Xenopus tropicalis: one gene and its partners. The protein of the gene in region 1 purifies or fractionates together with the protein of each later gene. This does not show direct contact. Links are inferred from orthologs where the notes say so. Each region holds a gene or a part of one and is shown in the gene's direction. Other genes may lie near its edges.

What was found. Proteins that work in one complex are often made in the same cells at the same time.
Region 2: the proteins of gemin4 (region 1) and ddx20 purify together in Homo sapiens (co-immunoprecipitation; 7 studies listed by BioGRID and IntAct, counting the BioPlex papers as one, with this or other methods). This does not show direct contact. The link is inferred for Xenopus tropicalis from reciprocal best matches to the Homo sapiens genes GEMIN4 and DDX20.
Region 3: the proteins of gemin4 (region 1) and snrnp70 purify together in Homo sapiens (affinity purification with mass spectrometry; 5 studies listed by BioGRID and IntAct, counting the BioPlex papers as one, with this or other methods). This does not show direct contact. The link is inferred for Xenopus tropicalis from reciprocal best matches to the Homo sapiens genes GEMIN4 and SNRNP70.

What each region holds. Positions count from the first base shown.
Region 1 is NC_030678.2:96,475,271-96,483,653, forward strand, and holds the start of gemin4 (gem-associated protein 4), read left to right. Parts: upstream 1-2,799; 5' UTR 2,800-2,951; intron 2,952-2,958; exon of another isoform or gene 2,959-3,146; intron 3,147-3,153; exon of another isoform or gene 3,154-3,583; intron 3,584-4,647; 5' UTR 4,648-4,689; coding exon 4,690-4,699; intron 4,700-5,526; coding exon 5,527-8,383. UniProt on the Homo sapiens protein: The SMN complex catalyzes the assembly of small nuclear ribonucleoproteins (snRNPs), the building blocks of the spliceosome, and thereby plays an important role in the splicing of cellular pre-mRNAs.
Region 2 is NC_030678.2:59,579,852-59,587,539, forward strand, and holds part of ddx20 (probable ATP-dependent RNA helicase DDX20), read left to right. Parts: intron 1-2,887; coding exon 2,888-3,030; intron 3,031-3,217; coding exon 3,218-3,356; intron 3,357-4,334; coding exon 4,335-4,393; intron 4,394-5,320; coding exon 5,321-5,403; intron 5,404-6,027; coding exon 6,028-6,133; intron 6,134-7,461; coding exon 7,462-7,563; intron 7,564-7,688.
Region 3 is NC_030683.2:113,683,757-113,691,444, forward strand, and holds part of snrnp70 (U1 small nuclear ribonucleoprotein 70 kDa), read left to right. Parts: intron 1-2,431; 5' UTR 2,432-2,440; coding exon 2,441-2,587; intron 2,588-2,675; coding exon 2,676-2,738; intron 2,739-3,491; coding exon 3,492-3,546; intron 3,547-3,730; coding exon 3,731-3,795; intron 3,796-4,663; coding exon 4,664-4,726; intron 4,727-5,097; coding exon 5,098-5,179; intron 5,180-7,688. UniProt on the Homo sapiens protein: Component of the spliceosomal U1 snRNP, which is essential for recognition of the pre-mRNA 5' splice-site and the subsequent assembly of the spliceosome. SNRNP70 binds to the loop I region of U1-snRNA.

The sequences.
Region 1 (8,383 bases):
CATGGTGGCCGTCTCATGATTCTAATGCGTGAAATCTATCCTTACAAAACTTTGGTTTTGAATTTATTATATGAATTAGTTATGAATTTGTGGCAAAGTCCAAAAAATGGGCACAAATGTTTTTTGGGGTTTTTTTTGCATTTTTGCAAAATTCAATCTTCTGTTTGAACACTGAGGTGCAACTGGAGTAGTGTACAAAAAAAAAATATTTCTCTGTGCTGCCTGTGTTTGGCTGAGAGGTTAGCAGAAATGTTTGTGTTTAGCAGGAAGGGTGGCTTGTGGCCCTCCTGGAACACCTTTAGCTTGCCTACTAGCAGAAAATTGCTTGGAGCTGCTATGTACTATGGAGGGCTGCACTAACCATATTAAGTACAGGGCTCATTTGTGCATGACAGCCCTGTAAAGAGCCCGCTTAAGAGCAAGGCTGGAAGGAGACCATGATGTGTCTCATCAGGTCATTCCAAATCATAATGTAAAATATAAAAAGCATTGTATACAGTATATGTTGTGATTCAGAGCATTATTTGGGAAGCATGATTCAGTACATGGTCACATCATCCAAAATATTTTTTAAGAGATGAACAACACGCTACAATTTCACCTTGTGCTTAGTCATTATAAGATTATAATTAAAAATTGACACCTACAGAAAAACTAGACCTGACGTCAGAATAAGGACCTGAGCTATCTAAATCCGCCTCTGCTTGTTTGGTACTACAACTCCCTGTATTCTTAAGGTAAAGATTGCCATTTGTCACTATAACAGAAAACCAATTATATGTCATTTTTATAATCTCCTGCCTTCATCATAATCTGCAGTTGCTTACAGTGTTTGTATTTGACAGTGATGTTAAAAATTGCTAGTGAGTGTATAAACTTGGTACCATTGTTTAAACAAATAAAAGTTTAAATAAAAAAAAATTTATAACTGTGTTATTTGACTTATGCTGCTGTACTATAGGAATACCACTGAGTAGCTTTTTGTAATGAGAATTTCTGTTAGCTGCAAGTTGTGCCTAGTACAACTTGCAGCTATCACTGCAACTTTAAGCTAACAACTTTAAGTTAAAGGAGAATGCAAGTCAAAATTTAGAAAGCATACTGCCCAATAGTCCTCCTATTGTTTAGTAAAAACGCCACACTTTTGGCTCACCTAATCAAATATTTACTCAGTCACACTTACTTCACATTTTCTAGTACAGGCAGCCATCTCTAAAAAGGTATTCTCCCTTCCTTTCCCTCCTTGCTTCATACTGCACATGTGTTTCATTCTCTCCCCCCCTCCCCTCTGCCAGATCCACTTCTGATTGGCTGGTGGGCATGTGTAGCTCAGAACAGGAGACAGGATCAAGTTACACACATGCTCAGAGAATAGGAAGGCTGCCGCTGGCACCTACAGGAAGGACAGAGAGATTTCAGTGATGTCACTGTAGTCTTCACACTGCCGTAGGCTGCCAGCACCATATCTCAGAGAAGCAAGCAGGGATCTAGGAATTTAGATATGCAGTAAGTACTTAAAAAGAATACCTTTAGACTTACTTTTAATTTATATTAAGCTTTCATTGTCCTTTAAACTGCAGCCATCTTGATTAGTATTCTATCACTTTCCACAAGCAAGACCCCTGACCTAGATGGCCTACCAACTGAATTCTATAAAACATCATTTAACCATGATATTATCGCCTTTAACCAACCTGCTCAATGAGGTAGCAAGTAGGGGCTTGTTACTCGACTCACTGAAGCAGGCCTATAAATATCACCATTATATCCAAGAAAGGGAAAGATTTGCGACTTTGCTCTTCATGTCGACTGAAATCACTTATTAATTGCAATGCAAAAATATTAGCTAACATGCTGTCTAATAGGATCAAGCCTTATATGAAAGATCTGGTACACTCTGATCAAAGTGGGTTTATCTTGGCCACAACAACCTATATTAACAGGTTGCTTTGGATCTCAATTTCTCTTCTGGATACAGGTGCTATACCACTCAACTATGGCACAAATTTGGGTCAATAATATGCTCTCCACAGCCTTTTCCTTAAAGTGAGGCACAAGGCAGGGCTGCCCATTGTTGTCCTTCCTGCTTTGTCTGGCCATAGAGCCACTTGCAGAATAATCCGCAACGCAGCAGACACAGTAGGCTTTACAGTTGTCAACCTTAGTGAAAAAAATATCACTGTATGCAGGTTATATGCTGGCATATCTTGATAATCTGGGCCCTACTTTAACTTTTAAAAAGGTGCCCTCATCTTAATTCACCCCCAGTGTGAGTAGATTTGTTTCTGTATCTTGGTATCCATATTACATTAGACGTACATCAGTACATCTCTTTGAATACTGAAAGGTGTTATGCTAAGAACTTTTCAATATGCATCACTTAATTTTAAGTGGGTTTAAAAGTTATACATAAAATATAATGTCTACTAAAAGCAGTTAATTGTTCATTGCTTTCTGTTCTTTAGTTCTGACTGTTTAAGTAGCAGGAACTACCTCCCCTCTGTGCCTGGTAATCAGCTTGCTTGTTATATTGCTTCAAAAACAGCAGTGCAGAGGAATCTAAACAGAAAGATAATGCTGAAATAGAACTTTAAAACTATTTAAATTGGTTAATTGTAGTGTATTAGACAATTGGCTAGAATTACATTTTCTTATATTAGGCAAAAATGTGGGTGGAGTTTCTGAAGGGGCGTGGGGGGATACAGAGAGGAGGGGAAATGATCAAACTGATAGCAAAAGGGGACGGGCAGAAAGCAATTTATTATACTAATAAAAGTAAAGAAAACTTACAGAGAGAGACTTTGATTTGCCATCTTACAAAACCTGACAACTCCTGCTTCCTCCCTAAGTACGCGCTGCCTTCAGTCACTTCCTGGTCTTCAGGTCTTCGGAAGTGACGTCACATAGCGACCGCACGTTACTTGCAAGCGGCTTCTTCCTGGCGCTCTAAGGTATAGGTAGCTGTGTTCGCTACTCCTGAATTCTTTTCTTCGCTAGCGGCTTTTTCCCCTCATTTTCTTCCTGGCGCTCAAAGGAACCGGAATTGCTGTATTGAATTCTGCAGCAATTTTTCTTCGCATCGCCTTCACCTCATGGTTAGAAGAAATCGCTTGATTCAGTGCAGCAGCATGCAGCGGGGGCCACAGGTGTGGGGTCTGCTATTATTGCAGAAATTCGGGGGCCACAGGCCTGGGATCACTCTGCACTGTCCAGAAGCCCTGTACCATTCCCACAATGCTTTTCTAGTCACCCGGCACAGGGCTTTTTATTTCAAGCACACTTTCTTCACACCCTTCCCAATGTAGTGCTGCACCTTTCTCACTTATTATATACCCTGGGGCCCCAGGCTTGCATATCAGATATCCTGCTCTCTAGATAGGCAGCAGTTCAGTGGGTACCAGGCAGGAGTTTAGCGCTAGCAGGGATTGGAGCTGGACTCTTGTCTGTTATGTCCCTCCTGCCCACCAACATCTAGTTCATGTGGGTGCAACATGTGAACTTCCTGAAAGCATCTGTATGGAGCTGCATGGGCTTATCCACAGAAGGAAGCAACAGATGGGAGCACACTGGGATACATACAGAAGTGGGTTATGTACAGTAGTGATACACAGAGTAATCCCAAACCTGTGGGTTATGGCCAATAGTTTACTCCACTTGTGGGTGGAATGTGGGGCTCACTCTCCGCCAGCCTCTCCATTCTTACCAACCTTCTGAACGTAAAAACGTCTTGCTGCTTTTATTCGTGAAGGCTCACCTGCCCTGTCCCTGCCAATGAAGTCAGAGAAAGATGTGTTGGATGAGGGAATATAAATCATTGTGATGGGCATGGGTACAAGGGTGCTGGAGGAGCACAGTGGGATATATTCTGGGCCCCTGGGGGAGAGCAGTGTTATCACATGTCTATTAACTCATTCCCTACTAACAATGTAGAATCTGATTCAGTGGCAGAGTGCTTGCAACATAGATTCTGTCTTTCTTTTCTATTTAAATGAAAGGTCATCAAAAAAAAAATAAAATAAAAATCATGCAGGCTCAGTCTGGGATTCAAAATTTGCCCTGGCATTTTAACCACATAGGTCTGATCAGACCCCCATCAGCCCAATGAATAGTGACTGTCTATAGCATCATACAGCAGCCCCTCTGGCATTTGGCACATGTACATAGTAGTACATAGATTGCCAGTCCGGGCCTGCATGAGAGACCGTTAAACCACGTAAAATAACATAGACTGTTATAGACACATGCAAGTGACACATTAATGCACTCCATATGAGGCCCAGACTGGCAATCTGATTTTTGGGTCTAGGCCTGCTGGCATATATGTACAAATAAAAAAAAGCCAATCCGCTACCTTCCACACCGTGTACTAGTCAGCCTGTCAGCATGCACCCAGACCAGAAGGCAGCAGAGAAAATAACCACCTGTGTGCCATAAGCCTTAAACCCAAGGATGTGTATTGTAGGTTTACAAAATATACACTATGATATGGTTATGATAATTGCAGCATATCCTAAAAATCCCACGTCTTTAATAATTATACTGTACTATTTACATTTGCAAGTGAAGCATGTTATAGCATGTTACGCCTACATTTCAGTTTAATCATTTTATATTTATGCCAGTAACAGTTTATGTGTTGTTTTGTAGGGTTAGATGGTCACCCTCGTGCCTTAATAAACAATCAAAACAATGGATTTTGGTAAGTAGTAACTATGTATTTATTGTTTTACTTGTGCATTTCTATTGCCAATGGTGTTTATAAGATTATTATTTTCACATGGCTATAGAAAGGGTATTTAAGATGCAGTAATGTAGTTTATTAATCCACCACACCTCCCCTTGTTTCAGCCTGAGCTCTCTATCACCCCCTCTTTTTAAAGGAGGTATAGATTCCAGTAAAATCACGTATTTCACAACATCGGTCAGCTATTAACTTAGGAAATACTACACTACCGATTTCTAAACATTTTTGTGAGAAGGGCCACACATCCGAACAGCTTAGCTTCATGGTACTGGAATCTATACCTCCTTTAAAAAGAGGGTGATAGAGAGCTCAGGCTGAAACAAAGAAGTCCACACTCACTTAAGAAACTATAAGATGTATAACATCTTAATTAAGGTGCTGACCAACAAAGCATACTGGTGTCCACAGAAAGCACTCACGGCATCAGGTCTACAAAAAATAAGGTGCTGACCAACAAAGCATTCTGTGTCCATAGAAAGCACTCGCGGCATCAGGTCTACAAAAATTAGTCCTTTATTCTATAACCTTATTCTATATCCTTTTCTATTTTTTTTTTTAAACTTGATTATTAGTAAGATATATAAGTGGTGAAATAACAATATTTTATGCTTAAAAGGAATGTGTTTTTACAGAGCTGTGACGTTGCCAAAACAACAGCATTTTATTCATTACAGTGGGTGCCATGACAAATACCGTTTTTAATTAAAGCAAAGCAAACAACTAATAAATGTGCAGGCACTGTACGTTTAGTATCCTGACTGTTTGCTTTATTTTTGTTGTAGGAAGCTGGAATGTGTGTGAGCAAACTGCGGTTCTACAGGGTGCATTTTTATTGGCTGAAAAACTTTGCCATCCAAAAACATTGCTGGAGGTAAAGAAGTCTGACTGGCCCCTTATTCAAAAACCAATCACAGAGGCCTTCAAGGAAATAAGCTCAGGTCTTCCACCTCAACATCAAGAATGGCGGAGAAGAGCCATTGCTATACTTTGGGCCAGAACACTTTGTTGCACGCCAGATCTGACTTCCGTTTCACACTTTGACATAGATAGGAAATGGAAAGAGGATGTTTTCTTTCCAGTGGAAAACATGATCCCCAAAATAAGTCAAACTGTACTCTTTGAACTGCTCAAAACAATGAAAGCAGCAGACATTTGTGCAGAATTGCTGTTGGCACTTCCAGTTGGCATTTGGGCTGAAGGGGCCACCTCACTACTTCAGCATATTTGTGAAGAGACTTCAGTAGAGGATGTTGATTTTTTTTTAGATGTCTGGTGGGAGGTAATGAAAAGCAAGAGTGATGAGCAAAATGAAACTCTTGTGTTATTTTCCTCTGTGGTTTCCCAGTACTTACCAAAGTCTAGTGATGAACCATCACAGAGCGCCAAAAGATTTAAGTCAGATCCTGAACAGACTTTAAATCAAGCCGATAATATCCTTGCTGTTTTTCTAGAGGGGCTTCATAAAATGAAACAGTGTGTTGCTACCAACAAGCTGAGGTGCTTTACTATTGCAAATCTAGCTGAAATGTTATGCTCCTCAGCCTTTCTCGAAAAGGAGTCTGAGCTTCTGCCCATAAAATCATATTTAGAACAATTTGCAGTAGTGCTTTCCTTCTGTGAAAAAGGATCCAGAGATGTTGATATGATTAGAGTAGCAGAAAGGATGGTGCAGAGCGGAAGCACATCTTCAAGATTCCGCTTACTACGAGGTGCTCAGCATTTTGGTTTAAGCCTTCTCAAAGACCTTCTTTTTCAGTGGGGGGAGGAGTTAATTCATTATTTGAATAACAACAAAGTAGTTGGCTATGTATGTTACAGGATGAGACACAGCCTTGCATCTTTGCATAAAATCTTGAGAACGTTAGAAGATTCTGGTACCTACCCTGAAGAACAAAGAGGGGATGTACTGGAATTGGCACACTGCATTACAAGCTTTCAAGAGAAAACCACCCAAGTTCAACATGGATGTCCTTCTAATGCTAATGAAATGATGGCTTTTATTGCCATGAAAATTATTGAGAATAAAATGGACCGTTTCAAAGAAGTTTGTTCTGTCTTCGCCTCAGAAGTATCCTGGGCCTTCTCAAATGACTGGTTAAATTGTCTTGAGAAAAACAAAGCACATTTTCAGGACCCTGCAATGGTATTAAAATTGCTGGATCTCATAGTAACAGTTACTGCTTTACAAAGTAATGTGGATATTGGATCAGTACGAAAAGGCGCTGATGTCACATTAAGCATTTTTTCAGAACTTTCACTGTCTGAGAAGAATGAAGTGCTGAAAGAAGTTTTATCCTTATGGGGCAGAAAAGGGCTTTCTCCATCTATCAAAGCATTTACTGACAGTTTCCAAGATGAACTTAATATAACATTCAACCAAATTTCCCAAAGCCTTTCTGATTACAGTGCTGCTCAGGCCGTTTCAAAGGTGTCTAAACTGGCTTTGCTGAACCCGCAAGCAGTAGTAAAGAAAGCCTGTCATTTTGCAGTGGTAAATGTTGGTGCTCATACATTTTTAGCCAAGATATTGAGCTCCCTTCCAGCTTTATGCTTTAAGTGTCCTAATAATTCAGAAAAAACAGTCTCTCTGTTGTGTGAGTGCCTGATGGAAACCTGTTGGGGTAAGTTGTCTTCTGATAAGGAAGAGAGGCAGTTTTTAGCCTTACTAGCCTTTCTGATGGAATCTTCAGAAGTAAATGATAAGGATTCTTCTATCCAACTTCTCCAGCCAGCTGAAGTCATACAAACATTTGTTCTCCCGTACATTTTTGACGAATATGCTAATGTTGCGTTATGCTTGCACATACTTCATAAGGCTTTTAATGTTCAGAATCCTGAGGATGAATCTGGAAAACATTGGGTTTTATCCTGTTCCCCGTTTCCACTTATTATGTCATTATGTAAGCTTCTTAATTCCTACACAAAATGCTGGCAACTTTCTGAGAATTCACATTGCCTTACACTGGGCTCCAAAGAGTTAATCATTGACATTCTTACACTGATCATTAATGCAGTCATGCCCGAGGCTGGAAACAACTCTGAAACGTGGAACAAGTCACTCTTCTGGTTGCATAAAAAAATGGAAAACTTGGATTGGGTTGTATGTTTGAGGCTAAAACCAATATTTGGAAAACACTTTAAAAACGAAGTCCCATCTTCATTATTTGACGTTGGCAAACTGTCTGAGAGGGAATGGGTTCCTCTTCAGCTACCCGAGTATGGACCAGGCACAGGTCTTATGGCATGGCTGGAATGTTGCTGCATATCTGCAGAAATGAAAAACCAAATGCTTTCTCTTCTCTCTGTCAACAGCAAAGACCCTGAGGAGGTCAACCTTTTTAGTAAAGGTTTTCTGGTGGCAATGATCCAAGTTCTACCATGGTGTAGCTCAACAGAATGCAAGCTTGTTGCTGAGGTAGTGAGACATCTCCTTAAAAGACGACTCCTTCATGTACCCTACACTCTAGAATATGTACAGCATATGCCACTTTTGAATCTGCGACCATTTGCTTATAATCTCCAGTTCTCTGTTCTTCTTCTCAGAGGCTTTCAGCTTCTATGTAGTTCTAGTTGTTCTGATTGGCTACCTTTTGAAGGGCACAAACACATTGCAAGGCTTTATACTAACTGCATATTTGA
Region 2 (7,688 bases), about 37 Mb from region 1:
CCCCAGATCCGTTTCAATTAAGGATTTACCCAACATACTGCCATTTAGTAGAAATAACAAATGAGACTTATACACTAAAGTGTATAACATTGGACCTCATTTGGCTGCCAAGTTCTCCAATGTAGTCAAATTGCTTTGCAAAGTGGCAGAATCCTGCATGAAACTTAATTTTTTATGGTGCACTTTTTATTACCCTCTACCATTTAAATTTTTATTCTTAAACCAACAAATGTAGTTTTCTTTAGTTGTATTATTGCCCTTTGGTGTGTAGGCAGCCATCTCAGTGCATTGTGCCTGAGTCTGTGCTTTCAGATGTAGCCAGTGCTACACATTAGAACCGCTTTGTAATGTAATTGGAGAAGTTGCAGTCCGGACTTGGATTTCTTACTATTGAGTGCTATTCTGATATCTACTGGGAGCTGCTATCTTGTTACCTTCCCATTTGTAATCCTCCAGCCAGTAATTTTACCTTCCCAGTAGACTTCCCTGCTGATCGGCTGCTGGGGGGAAAAGGGAGGGGGTGTGATATCTCTCCAACTTGCAGCTCAGCAGTAAAGTGTGACTGAAGTTTATCAGAGCAATGTTCACATGGCTGAAGCACACTGGGAAGTAAAGAATATGGCTAGCCTCATGTGAAATGTCAAAATTAAATAGAAAAAAAACTTTGCATTTTTGAAAAACAGATTTCAGTGCAGGATTTGATGTGCTTTTGGGGTTTTTTTTTTTTTTTTTTTTTTTTACAGTATTTCTTTTTTGCACAATATAGTATCCTCTACTAAAATAAAGTGCCTTTAATGCCCACCTCAAGGTAATTAATAAACAAGTTAAAAAGCAAAGGCCCTGCGGTGCTTCATGAACAACACCGGTCCAATTAGAAAATGTTTCATTTACTACCATGCTTTGTAATCCTCCAGCCAGTAATTTAACAATTAACCTTTGTGGTACTGTCACAAATTAAAGCACTAAGCACCATTTATAAGGATATCTACAGGATATTCATGCATATGGAAATTGTAAGAGTGTTATCACCAAATCACCAATTGCCAAGTCCTTTAACTAAACATATACAGTGGCTTGCAAAAGAATTCGGCCCCCTTGAACTTTTCCACATTTTGTCACATTACAGCCACAAACATGAATCAATTTTATTGGAATTCCACGTGAAAGACCAATACAGAGTGGTGTACACGTGAGAAGTGGAACGAAAATCATACATGATTCCAAACATTTTTTACAAATAAATAACTGTAAAGTGGGGTGTGCGTAATTATTCAGCCCCCTTTGGTCTGAGTGCAGTCAGTTGCCCATAGACATTGCCTGATGAGTGCTAATGACTAAATAGAGTGCACCTGTGTGTAATCTAATGTCAGTACAAATACAGCTGCTCTGTGACGGCCTCAGAGGTTGTCTAAGAGAATATTGGGAGCAACAACACCATGAAGTCCAAAGAACACACCAGACAGATCAGGGATAAAGTTATTGAGAAATTTCAAGCAGGCTTAGGCTACAAAAAGATCTCCAAAGCCTTGAACATCCCACGGAGCACTGTTCAAGCGATCATTCAGAAATGGAAGGAGTATGGCACTGTAAACCTACCAAGACAAGGCCGCCCACCTAAACTCACAGGCCGAACAAGGAGAGCGCTGATCAGAAATGCAGCCAAGAGGCCCATGGTGACTCTGGACGAGCTGCAGAGATCTACAGCTCAGGTGGGGGAATCTGTCCATAGGACAACTATTAGTCGTGCACTGCACAAAGTTGGCCTTTATGGAAGAGTGGCAAGAAGAAAGCCATTGTTAACAGAAAACCATAAGAAGTCCTGTTTGCAGTTTGCCACAAGCCATGTGGGGGACACAGCAAACATGTGGAAGAAGGTGCTCTGGTCAGATGAGACCAAAATGGAACTTTTTGGCCAAAATGCAAAACGCTATGTGTGGCGGAAAACTAACACTGTACATCACTCGGAACACACCATCCCCACTGTCAAATATGGTGGTGGCAGCATCATGCTCTGGGGGTGCTTCTCTTCAGCAGGGACAGGGAAGCTGTTCAGAGTTGATGGGAAGATGGATGGAGCCAAATACAGGGCAATCTTGGAAGAAAACCTCTTGAGACTGGGGCGGAGGTTCACCTAAACATAAAGCCAGGGCAACAATGGAATGGTTTAAAACAAAACATATCCATGTGTTAGAATGGCCCAGTCAAAGTCCAGATCTAAATCCAATGGAGAATCTGTGGCAAGATCTGAAAACTGCTGTTCACAAACGCTGTCCATCTAATCTGAATGAGCTGGAGCTGTTTTGCAAAGAATAATGGGCAAGGATTTCAGTCTCTAGATGTGCAAAGCTGGTAGAGACATACCCTAAAAGACTGGCAGCTGTAATTGCAGCAAAAGGTGGTTCTACAAAGTACTGACTCAGGGGGCTGAATAATTACGCACACCCCACTTTGCAAAAAATGTTTGGAATTATGTATGATTTTCCTTCCACTTCTCACGTGTACACCACTTTGTATTGGTCTTTCACGTAGAATTCCAATAAAATTGATTCATGTTTGTGGCTGTAATGTGACAAAATGTGGAAAAGTTCAAGGGGGCCGAATACTTTTGCAAGCCACTGTATCCTAAAGGATAGCCACCCTTATACTTTTGAGTATAGGATGACAAATGCCTTATAATACATATGATGTTTATATGTGGTGGACGTGGAGATTTATACAAAGGCTTTAAAGGGAGGTAGAAGTATATGGCATACTGGCTACCCAGTTTATATGTAAAGGAAATATATCAAAGCTAACCATTAGTTTAATGGTCTTCTCATAAAATAGCTGTCATTTTGCATGAAAAACTTATGTATTGCATATAACTTTTGTTTTCTCTTTTTTTCAGCTGGATATATTCCTCTCTTCCTGCTAACAAACAAATGCTAGCTGTTTCAGCCACTTACCCGGAATCTTTAGCAAAAGCACTGACAAGATACATGAGAGAGCCTACATTTGTAAGGTTGAATGTAACCGACCCCAGCCTCCTTGGTGTGTATGTTAAATTACTTGGATGAACTTCTAGCAGTTTAGAAATACAGTAGAACCCCCATTTTTTCAGGGGACCAGAAAAAACTGTAAACAGTTGTAATCATAGTATGTAAAATTGAGGTTTCATTGTATATTCTACTTTCATTTGCTCTGTGTAACTTTATACATACATTTTTGCTTGGCTTAGGTTTGAAGCAGTTTTATAAAGTTGTGAAATCGCACCCACTGCCACACAAGGTTTTTGACGAAAAGGTGATGCATTTGCAAGAGCTGTTCAACAGAATTTCTTTCAATCAAGCTTTGGTGTTCTCAAATCTCCATAGCAGGTAATAAGACTGGCCCCACTACTATAATGTCTGATATGGAAGATGCTCCGCTGGTAGGAAAACGCCTGACACAGCTCTTGCTGTTTGCTCCAGTTGCATCCACCTATCACTTTGCACATGGAGGGATGTTGACCCAAAAATGCATACATGAAAATTGAGTTGGCATTAGTCTGACAATGGAAGATCTGGCACATATCCTATTGGCTTTTTCTTGCTGCTGCATTATCACAAAACCAAGGGTGTAAGGATGCACTAAATCTCTGATTCGATTTGGTGTTTGGCCAAATCAAAATGTTTTTTAGTAGGATTTAGTGGCATCTAAGGGAGTGCTTTGTCAATGGTCATTTTTTCTGTGATTCATATTTGTTTTGTGCTAATCATGATTTTTTTTTTTGCATACAAAAATGTGAATGTTGTCTTTAAGCTACAGACCAGGACTAGAGCTGCTAAAGCCCTCTCTTCTCTGCATTGTGTGTTGTCCCAGAGGATGACTTGGCAGTCAGCCAAATAAAAAAAAAAAAAAGTTCACACTTTTCACACCAGTTGGTTTTGTGCATGCCAGGCTGGTACCTCTTTTACCCCCCACTGCAGCAACCCCGCCACCACGTGTGTGCATTTCATAGTAACATAGTAAGTTGGGTTGAAAAAATCACGTTCAACCATAATAAATGCATTGTCCTGGTTGGGGCAGGCCAAGCGGGGCAGATTGCCTAGGGCACCCGGTTGGCTTGGCCCGCCACTGGTCTCAACCGTAGAAAATCATGTGACTTTTGGTTACGTAAAGAAGGTTCATTGTAACTCCTACATGCATATTTGCATTTGCAAATTAGAGTTTGGCTTTAGTTTGAATTTCCTTCATGAAAAACTCAAAAATAGAGGATTCATCACTGTTAGTGTTTTTATTAAAATGATTTTGTTTTAATAGCTGCTATAAACATGATGCTGATGTCTTCCTCTTCTTTTAATTTTTAATAACAGGGCTCAGCACTTGGCTAATATTCTTACAGCTAAAGGCTTCCCAGCAGTGTGCATATCTGGTAAGAAAATGTCTGTTTAAAAGACTTTAATTTAATGCCTTTTGGTTTGCAGCACTTGTTGGCACTTGTTATGCTTTTCTTCACCTAATGAATTTACCAGGCTATCTCTAATATAGTTCTTATGAGCTTTTTTTAGTATATAAATAGGTTCAGTTCTCTTGTGTAGTGCTGGCTCTTTTTGAACCCTAGGATGAGGCACATGCTCTGAGATGGCTGCCTACACGCCAATAATACAGCTAAATGAAATACAATTAAGATTAATTACAAATGGTAGAATGAATTATTTTCAATGTGAACAGTGTAATATAGTATTAAAAACTATACTGTAAAAATGATGAGAGAATCCATTAAGCATGGGCAACAGTATGCAAGTCCTTCAAAGCAAGCTGGTAGCTTACCTGTTCCACTGAGGGATCTCTTACCTATTCTAAGTATCCCTTGAAAGCGGCCTTTTAAATAAACTTTTAGTATGGTGTTTTAAAAATAAGATTTGCCATTTGTCTTTTTGTTCAGCAGCTTCCCAATTTAAAACGTCAGCAGCATGGTTGCTAGGGTCAAATTTACTTTGCAACCTTTCAGTGGTTTCAGTATGATAAATATGAGCGAGCCTGAATAGAACAATAGATAATTAAATGAAACAATAAAATGGTAGCATTCCAGAGCGATAGTTTTTTAAAAGTCTGAAATAATGAGAAGTGGAATACAAATTAATAACTATAAAATAAAAACAAATCAAATTTACAGTATATCCTTATGTTTATGTAGAGATGACTATATCCTTCACTGCAAATAGACTAGAAGCTGTGCCAGAATGTACAGTAGTGTGGCAAAAAACTCTATCCTGTATTCCTTGGGTTATTTTAATGTGAATTTATTAATTTCTGTTTTTAATTAGCAACCTTACTAATGCAGCTTTGGTATTTCTAGGTAGCATGAATCAAAACCAAAGGCTGGATGCTGTGGCCAAACTCAAGCAGTTCCATTGCCGGGTCTTAATTTCTACTGATTTAGTAAGTGACTAACCTGATAATGATTTGGGCTTTAACATGCAGAATTCTCTTAAAAAAGGCAGCTAGTATAATTTATTGAAAAAGAGTAAAACTTTTTGATCTAAAAGACACAGACGCCATTTTTTGATAAACTAGGATTATCCCTTGATACAGTGGAAGGCACAGAGGTCCCTGACATAGCCTGCTGTAGTTATTGATAATTACTTGCTGCCTTTCATTTTGGAAGTGCTAAAAAGAAATGAATTACAAAGAACTGTTGCATTGTAGAGCTCTGCACACTCTATTGATTCACTTTAATGTGAGTACAAACAGAATAAATTCACTGTAGAATTCTTGACTGTAGCAAACAGTATCTTATTAGTCTGAAGGATAGCTAGGAAGAGTTCGGTAAGATTGAACTGTAATTGCTAGGATTTTCATTCTGCATTAGACTTGGAAGTTAATTGAAGGTGTCAAGTGGCTACTGTTAAAAAGGACCCTCAAGGCTAGAAACACATTTTGTAGGCTGAAATATAAAAATCAACTCTCATGTATTAGAAGTATAAACAACGGACAAAGGTTTTTGCTTTTTATTCTAAGGCTGTGAAGGCAGAACCTTTTTTTTTTTTTTTTCTTTCTTTAAAGACTTCGCGGGGGATTGATGCAGAGAGGGTGAATCTGGTTATTAATCTTGATGTTCCAGAGGACTGGGAAACCTATATGCATCGAATTGGAAGAGCTGGACGGTTTGGTAAATTATAAATACTTTACCTTTGGTGTGTGCTTAAATCTGTTGACTGTAAAGTATTATTCTGTAGTAGTGCTGGGCGGTATGACCAAAAATTTATATCACGGTATTTTTTTTATTATATCGGTATCACGGTATTTGACGGTATTTTTTTTTTCCCATGCATGATTAGGTGACCACCCCAAACACCCCCCCATCCAACCCCAAACACCCCCCCATCCAACCCCAAACAACCCCCATCCCCTTCACATAAATAAACCTTACGGGCCAGGCAGCCGCAGGCACCCCCGACAGCTCACAGAGCCTCCTGGCAATTTTTCTTACTATTTACGGGTTGCGCACGTGACGTCAGCGCGCACAACCCGGAAATAGTAAGAAAAATTGCCAGGAGGCGCCCACACCGGTATGCCGGTAAGTTAAAATTTTTTATCATTTTAAAAAAAAAAAAAAAACGGTGTTCGGTGTATACCGCCCAGCACTATTCTGTAGGTGTGCCTACTTTGCCTACGTAGTATGGACACTGGGTATGCCTACACATGGCAACTCTATCCCCTGTTCTACTCTATAAAAAGACTACATGGCTTTTTTTTATTTGCTTTTTAAAGGGGACCTGTCACTGACAAAGACAATAGAAAATAATTTGAGATTTCTTACAAACATAATAATCTTCACTCACACTATGTAAATAATATAAATTTTGTTTTCTTCAGTCTTGGAATTCACAATCCATTCTAAGAAGAAAGCAGGGTTATTCTTTCATTTTTATCACTAGCGCCCAATTTTTTTAAAAACATTGAAGCTGTAGCAGTTACAATTTACATGCACTTAGCCATTTTTCTTTATTTTTAGGGCTAGAAATGTAAAAGCTTCAACATTTTCAGAGCAGTTGCTAATGTAGTAATGGAATTTTGGTTAAAGTAGTAAAATGGTACTGACAGTACTACTTACAGTAGCATTTCAGTAACTTTGTCAAGATTATCGACATTAATACAATATTATGAATTTCTTCTTGTTTTGGCAATAAGAAAAGGATGCTATTTTTCTAAGTGCATTAATTGAGTGAGGTTCTTTATAAAAAGCAAGATGAGGGCAAAAAAACTGAAGTTGAACTGAAAAATATCCCTTCTTATCCTGTTATAGATGTAGGAGTGTTTGAGATGGAATAAAAAATACCATCTGTTGAACAGCTCCTCTTATTAGTTTTCTTAACCAGTTGCAAAAGGTAATTCATTCCCATGGTTCAAGATGTTTTGTAGCCTTGAAGCTTAATAAGGCTTGCTGTACAAATTCTAAAACTCTAATCCATGTGTATAACTACTGAATCTTTGCAGGTACTCATGGCCTCTCTGTAACTTTCTGTTGCCATGGGGAAGAGGAGAATATGATGATGGGAATTGCAATGAAATGCAATCTTAAGCTTTTGCCTTTACCAGGTAAAAACCCTCAATGATGGCATGATGTGTTTAACTTGGAATTTGGCTGTATACCATAGCACTGTTTATGTATTCTAGCAATCCATTTGTAGCCAAAATGACAAGCCTAAATTCTTGTTTATTTT
Region 3 (7,688 bases), on another chromosome or scaffold:
GCTGGCCTGGGGTATCTGTAGCCCCCTGTCTCCTTCCTGTATTTCCCCTTTATATTGGTACCTGTGGGTGTATGTAGTGCTGGCCTGGGATATCTGTAGCCTCCTGTCTCCTTCCTGTATTTCCCCTTTATATTGGTACCTGTGGGTGTATGTAGTGCTGGCCTGGGGTATCTGTAGCCTCCTGTCTCCTTCCTGTATTTCCCCTTTATATTGGTACCTGTGGGTGTATGTAGTGCTGGCCTGGGGTATCTGTAGCCTCCTGTCTCCTTCCTGTATTCCCCCTTTATATTGGTACCTGTGGGTGTATGTAGTGCTGGCCTGGGGTATCTGTAGCCTCCTGTCGCCTTCCTGTATTTCCCCTTTATATTGGTACCTGTGGGTGTATGTAGTGCTGGCCTGGGGTATCTGTAGCCTCCTGTCTCCTTCCTGTATTTCCCCTTTATATTGGTACCTGTGGGTGTATGTAGTGCTGGCCTGGGGTATCTGTAGCCTCCTGTCTCCTTCCTGTATTTCCCCTTTATATTGGTACCTGTGGGTGTATGTAGTGCTGGCCTGGGGTATCTGTAGCCTCCTGTCTCCTTCCTGTATTTCCCCTTTATATTGGTACCTGTGGGTGTATGTAGTGCTGGCCTGGGATATCTGTAGCCCCCTGTCTCCTTCCTGTATTTCCCCTTTATATTGGTACCTGTGGGTGTATGTAGTGCTGGCCTGGGGTATTTGTAGCCCCCTGTCTCCTTCCTGTATTTCCCCTTTATATTGGTACCTATAGTAATGTATAGTGCTGAGAATGTTGTGTGTACGTCTCAGCATTCCTCTTTGTGTGCATAATTAGGAGGAAAAGGGAGGTAAATGAATTGGTTCTAGAGAGCAATTTTCCCCCCTTTAGTCCAGTCGCTTGTTTACCATTCCCCCTGCACCTGGCCACACTGCCATCTTTCAGGCTGCATTCACGCACTTCAGGGCCTTTATTGCAAGGTGATGGTAATACGCTAGCAATGCCCCAGATTTGCATGTGTGGTGCAAAGTTTAAAACCTTTGTCCTACCTGGCCTGTAAAGGTGTCTGTCAGGTACTGTAGTGTCAGAAACCCAGTGGCAGTAACAAATCAAGTATGTGATTGGGGTTAAGAAGAGCCTCCCTGTATAACAAATAGTTTTGAGAGAAAGCGGCTGAACAATCCGCTAAATAATTCAGAGTTTGCAAATAAAAAATAAAGGCAAAAAATTGCAAATTCTTAGAATAACTCTACATCATACTGAACGTTAAAGGGGGTTGTTCACCCTTAAGTTAACTTTTAGTTTGAGACAATTTGCAGTTGGTCTTAATTTTTTCTTTGTAGTTTTTCTATTTTCAATAGTTTTGTCAACTCTCTGGTTTGGTTGCTAGGCTCCAAATTACCTTAGCACCCAGGGAATGATTGGAATGAGAGACTGATAATTGAATAGGAGAGAGACAAAGTAACAACAATAAAAGTGTAGCCTCACAGAGCAGTAGGTTTTCTTGGTTTAGGGGCTCGATGACCCCCCATTTGAAAGCTACAACGAGTTTGTAGAAGGTGGCAAATAATTCAAACTATAAGCGAAATAATAAGGACCAGTTGAAGAGTTTCTTAGAATTGTCCATTTTATAACATGCTAAAAGTTAAATTAAAGGTGAGCCACCCCTTTTAATGATCCAGTATGCTTTGCCAATTAATACATAAAGGTGCAAGAAATGTACTCTGGTTGCCCTGGGGTGTTTGTTTTTTGATACTTGGCGTCTAATTCCATCATAAAATGGGGAGTATATAGGAATTAAATCTCTGCACTTAGGGATGGTCATGACATTTTTATAGCCCTGAAAAAAGGGGCTGGGGGGTCAGATCTCAATGATCAAAAAATACAGAATAAAGACATTTACGCTGTAAATTAAGGAATAATCCTGCTTTCAGATTGGACTGTGTGCCGTTTCACTTGCAAAAAGTGTAAACATAGACTAATGAGGAGTTCCGGGTACAGAGCAATAGCTGTGATCATGCGCACACTGACTTTTCCTTCAACAGTAGAAAATTTATTTAAAATAAGGTGCAAAACTGAAGTCATAGAGCAGATTAAATGTGAGGAGATTTAATACATGTTATTAAAATTAAGTGTAAAGATAGCCATTCAGCTCCCTTCAGATCTATTAATCAGTTTATCTGCACGTGTATGAGGCTCTCCGATGGGCCTCTCTGGCCAATATCTGGCTGAAAATCGGGCATGGTTGATTTTCCTGTTAGAACGAGGACTGCATCGGATCATTGATCTGGACCTCGCCCCAGTGGCATGTATCCCAGTCATTATCAGATCATTTGGCCCTAGGAGCTATTTATATTTTCATAAAGATGATTTCAATGTTCTTAAAATATCTTTTGTGTAAACATTATTCAGTTGATTTTTTCTTATTCTATACAGGTCTTCAGGATGACACAGTTCTTGCCTCCAAACTTGTTGGCGCTCTTTGCACCTAGAGATCCAGTACCATACCTCCCTCCTTTAGATAAACTACCCCATGAAAAACACCACAATCAGCCATACTGTGGGATTGCTCCTTACATAAGAGAATTTGAGGTGAGTACACAGCTATATGAACCCGCTAAATGATTTATACCTGCAAAGGAAATTACATAAATCTTATAATAAATGTTATTGTACACAGGACCCTCGAGATGCTCCACCTCCAACTAGAGCAGAAACCCGCGAGGAGCGGATGGAAAGGAAGGTGAGATGTTCACTGATAATACTGTATTTTTGAGAGCATAGATGTTTTACATTTCTTTCTGTGGTTATCTTTGTGTGCCCACAACTCTAGAAGTTTGTAAACATTCACTGTCATTTTTTCAAGTGGCATATAACGTTCAAAATGGGGCTTAGAGAATCAACTAGACATGAGGTTCTTATATACAGAGCAGTTTTTGCACTGAAAAAGAAAGAGCTTCCATTTTTAGCAAACTACAAAGTGGATATGGATGTTAGTAGATATAGTAAATTGATCAGGGGGCAGCAGGACCATATATAGGTTCTTCAGTTGGAATTTACTAAACCGGATAAAAACATTTTAAAAGAACAGTTATTACTTGACTGGGAAGCTCAAATTATTTTTTTTGTCAGCAACCAAAATATATAAAAGTTAAATGACTCAAGCTAGGATTTATGATACAGGAGGTTTTTGCGATTATCCACTCTTCTACTATAGTAGGTGGGAAAGTGGTCAGGAACAGTGATTCTGCTTTTATCATCCAACAGAAGCTTCTGTATTAGACTGCATCTTTTCTGGTTAAGTGAAAAAATACCATTCCATTTGTGGAGTGGCCCCAAACTCTTGGCCAGACCTTTTTTTTTTTTTTTTTTTTTTTTTTTGCAGCGATTATTTCTACTTTTTCAAATGATAGTAGGCTTGTCTGTTGTGCTAAAATGACCCTGCAGCTGCTTTGTAGTGTGAATTACCTTAAAACCTTTTAAATCACTTTAACAGCGAAGAGAGAAGATTGAAAGAAGACAGCAGGATGTCGAGAATGAACTTAAAATATGTAAGTGCTACTTCAAGTAACATTTTCTGCCCTTTTTATTTACCATGCTGTCTTTCAGTTGGAAAAGTATAGTTTGTATCATTGAGTTTATCTTAGTTTGTCAATGTTTTCAGTCAACATTACATATTTGGAAGACCGTTCATAAAATATTTTGTTTTTAATTTCTGTTCTTTTCACCTGATAGGGGATCCACACAATGATCAGAATGCTCAAGGAGATGCCTTCAAAACCCTTTTTGTTGCCAGAGTGGTAAGTTTTATTTGTGCTCTTGTGTTTCTTGTCAGAATAATCCTTAAGTCACTGTAGTAGCAGTCAGGAAATTTAGGTAGCAGGTAACTGTGTGTGGGTTTTTATGTATATGGTTAAGTGGTGAGGCTGTGATGTAGGATCTTATGCTTGAGACCTTGATTCCGTTCCTTTTGGCAAATCCTTGTGACCTTGGACTTAATCTCTTGCTGTCCCAGGGTGTATGTAATAGCTGCCTAGCTGGCTGTAAAAGCACTTTGAGTGCTGTGGGGGAAAAGTGCTATATAAATGATTTAGACAGACCTTTGCTCCAAAATTCTTAAGGTAGCATACCTTTATTATAGTTAAGTGTCTTAAGGTGGCCATAGATCGGCATATTTAAACGATTTGGCTCGATATGGGGACCCCTGGCTGAAAATTGGGCAGGTTTTTTTTTTTTTTCCTTCAGTTCGGGGACTGCATCGGCTCATTGATGTGGTCCTTGTTCCGATGGCTCCTATTCCCATCTTGTAATCCAGTTGTTTGGCCGAATGATTGGATTACTCCGATATCTCCCGCCTTAGGTGGGAGTACTGGGAGAAAGATTCTCTCATTTGGCGAACTCTCCAAACGAGCGGATCTTAACGTGTATGGCCACCTTTAGAGCATGTTCTAGCATATCACTGACGATACTTGAATCTGTTCTCCATTGGGGTATGATGTCTTTGGTTCGCTATATGTTGAACAAGTCCTGACATCTTTACACCAATTCAGCTACAGGAGGGGTGCTAAACCCTGTAGAGTTTTGGTCAGAAAATATGACTTTTCCTGGTGCCTTTTGGGGGAAAAAAGCCTATAGCATTTTTCATGAACCGAATGATTTGTTTTTCAGAATTATGATACAACAGAGTCTAAGCTACGACGTGAGTTTGAGGTGTATGGACCTATAAAACGGGTATGTATATTGTTCGTGTTAAAAAAAAATTTTTGACTTCACTTAAAACAATAAGACAAGCTTTTCTAGTTGTACTACATGACCTGTTTGGCCTGGTTCACGCATTTATTTATACTGTTATGGCATAAGTCATAAGCTCCATAGCCGTCTGTAAATAGTTTAGAAAGTTTTGTCTCATTTTCTAATTCTAAAAGCAGAGAGTCCAATAGTGTGTGGTTGGTGATTTTGTGCTGATGTATGCAAAATGACAACTAGAAAGCATTCTGGCCTTATACAGTATCTGTTAGCTGACAGCTTTACTCATGGGATGATTGGTGTGTCGAGGGCGCCAATCGGTTTTCATTTACAAATGTAATTTCTTTCTATTTTAGATTCATATGGTATACAATAAGCGGTCTGGGAAACCCCGTGGATATGCCTTCATTGAGTATGAACATGAAAGAGATATGCACTGTAAGTTTTTAATTCTCTAACAAAAAATTAGTTTTGTTTTAGCAATTTTAAAGAAAATGTTTTTACTTTTGTAAGCCCTTTGCAATGAAGGGCTGTGTTCCAGAAGGTAAGTAACTGTGAACCATTCGGGTGGGCACTCGAATTCCAGTAATCCCCCTTGTAACACTCACCATTCCCTTAAAGAGACGTTCACCTTCAGAAACGTAATCTTCAAATAGAAAGCACTTGAAATTAGTAGCAATTTGAGGTGTACTGATCTGTTGCAACATTTTAGTGAGTTTGGGGGGGGGGGTGGAAGAATGAAATGTAAAGCGATAATCCAAGTGTAAAGAAAATTGGGGGAAAAAAACATTAGCAAATGTTTGTGCCCACCTGTTACAATAAAGGTAACAGGTAAACCATTTTGGAATGTTCCTGCTCAGATTTACATTTGCTTATTACTGTCTTATCTTATTAAACATTGCCCCAAGGATGTTGGTTCAGGGAATGATGTTGGGTTTGTCTTAAGCAGCTTTAATGCACTGTGCAATAAAGCCAGTACAGTCACAGTCAGGAGATTGTAATGGGGGACAAACCTCTACAAGGGCTGTGTGTGCTGTTGCTCTAAACTGGTGTTGTAGAAAAGGTATGCTTAAAGCAGCGGCATCTGTAGAGCTTTATTTACTTCAAAGTTCTCTTTACCCACTTGGGATTGCTGTAGTCCGGGTTCTACCAAGGATGGCTTACAGGACGGGCAACATTATTATGTTCAAGTGCCAGGTGGCGCATTTCTTGAGCAGCTTGCTAATGCCTGTTCCAAGAAATCACTGGCTTTATTTTACCTGTTTTTGGAAAGGGGGCAACTTGCATCTCCTGTTTGTATGAGCATAACTGTTGCCCATCCTTAAAATTCTATTTTTTTTCTAGTTTTATAATGTAGAGCTAAATCTTATCTGTGACAGTGCAATGTGAGGGGGGTGTATTAATTTTGTGTTCTTATTGCCACTGCAGCCACCATTGTGATGGCAATTGCCACTGCTGGCTTGCAGCTGAATCTAATGCTCCCCTTTACAACATCTCATTGTATGGTTGGTATAAGGGTTTGTATGATGGGTAAGACTTTGCAGCATTTACACACACAAGACACAGCAAAGCAACCACTTCACCTTGCACAGTTCTCACATTGTAAGTACATCTCTTACTACCTGGACACATGGACATGTTTATTTGTAGGGAGATGGTTTGTTTTTATGAGCAATACTTTTTATATTTGGCTATATTTACATTTTCATATACTTAAGCAAACATTGGGCAGCATGTCACATAAGCAGTTTTCTATCTAACAAGAATGCTGCTATAACTACTTGTCTATAGCCGTACAGTACAGCAATGGGGCACGGGCAGTATAGACGTGAGATACTAAATCTACAGTAGTGGATTTTTATTTTTGCCTCTTAATGCATAGTATTATGGGAAACACAATGGATTCTTCTGGGTTCTCTCCATTGCTCTTTCAAACACATTTTAATACTGACAGTAAGGGTTTTGGGGCATTTACTAATCCTAACTTAGAAGTTCCTAATGTATACATTCCCATTTTAGCTACTTTTACATTCAGTAATATGAAAATCATTATTAGATATTCCAGAAGGCAACAATGTCTGTATCCAGTTTCCTTTTTTGGGATATCTATTTGAATTTGTTTGCTGTGCAAGCAATGTCCATTTAAATGCACATATTGTACAACACCAAAAAAAAAAACATTTTTAAATACTGTGAAAAGTCAATTTTGCATTTGGAAGGAAACCATACTTACAGAACAGTTGCAGGTGAGGTATACTATAGATCAGAGTACTTGTTAGCTGGTAAACCAATGATGCTAGTATTTAAGTACAGACCAGGATATCGTAATCTAAAAAAAAAAAAAAAAAAAATAGTAATACATTAATGGGTTTATGTAATAAAAGGCACTAAGTTTGCCCAGGAGCAGTAACCCATGGCAGCCAATCAGGTGTTTGTTTTTAAACATCAGATTGTTTGCTAAGGGTTACTGTTCCTGGGCAAACTTAGCACCTTTATTACATATGGGGTTAAAATTCTTAAGGTAGACCTAAAATTGCAATATATTTGTAGGTAGCAGCTTCTGTGTAATTGACTTCAAATCTAGCTTCTTGTATTTGAAACGTCAATCATGAATGAGAAGGGAATCTGTACTTCTAGGAATAATTTAATATAGTAGCAAGAGAGCTCAGTTCAAGGGCTAGGCTATCATTGCATGGATTCCATTGCCTAGTTTTGAGTGCTACGGGACCTGGCACATAAGTGGTGAGTGAGAAACTGATGGACTGTGTTGGCAATGTTTGCCTTAAACGGACAGTCCTGCACGTTGAACCCCCATTTGGCTTTTTGTGAAAGGTTGCTTGTGGACTAATCACAAACGGCTTATTGCTTTGTGTGATCATGGGAGTTACGAGTCAGGCTACTTCACCTTACAGGAGCAAGCAGCTGCTGGGTAACTAGTAACCTGCAT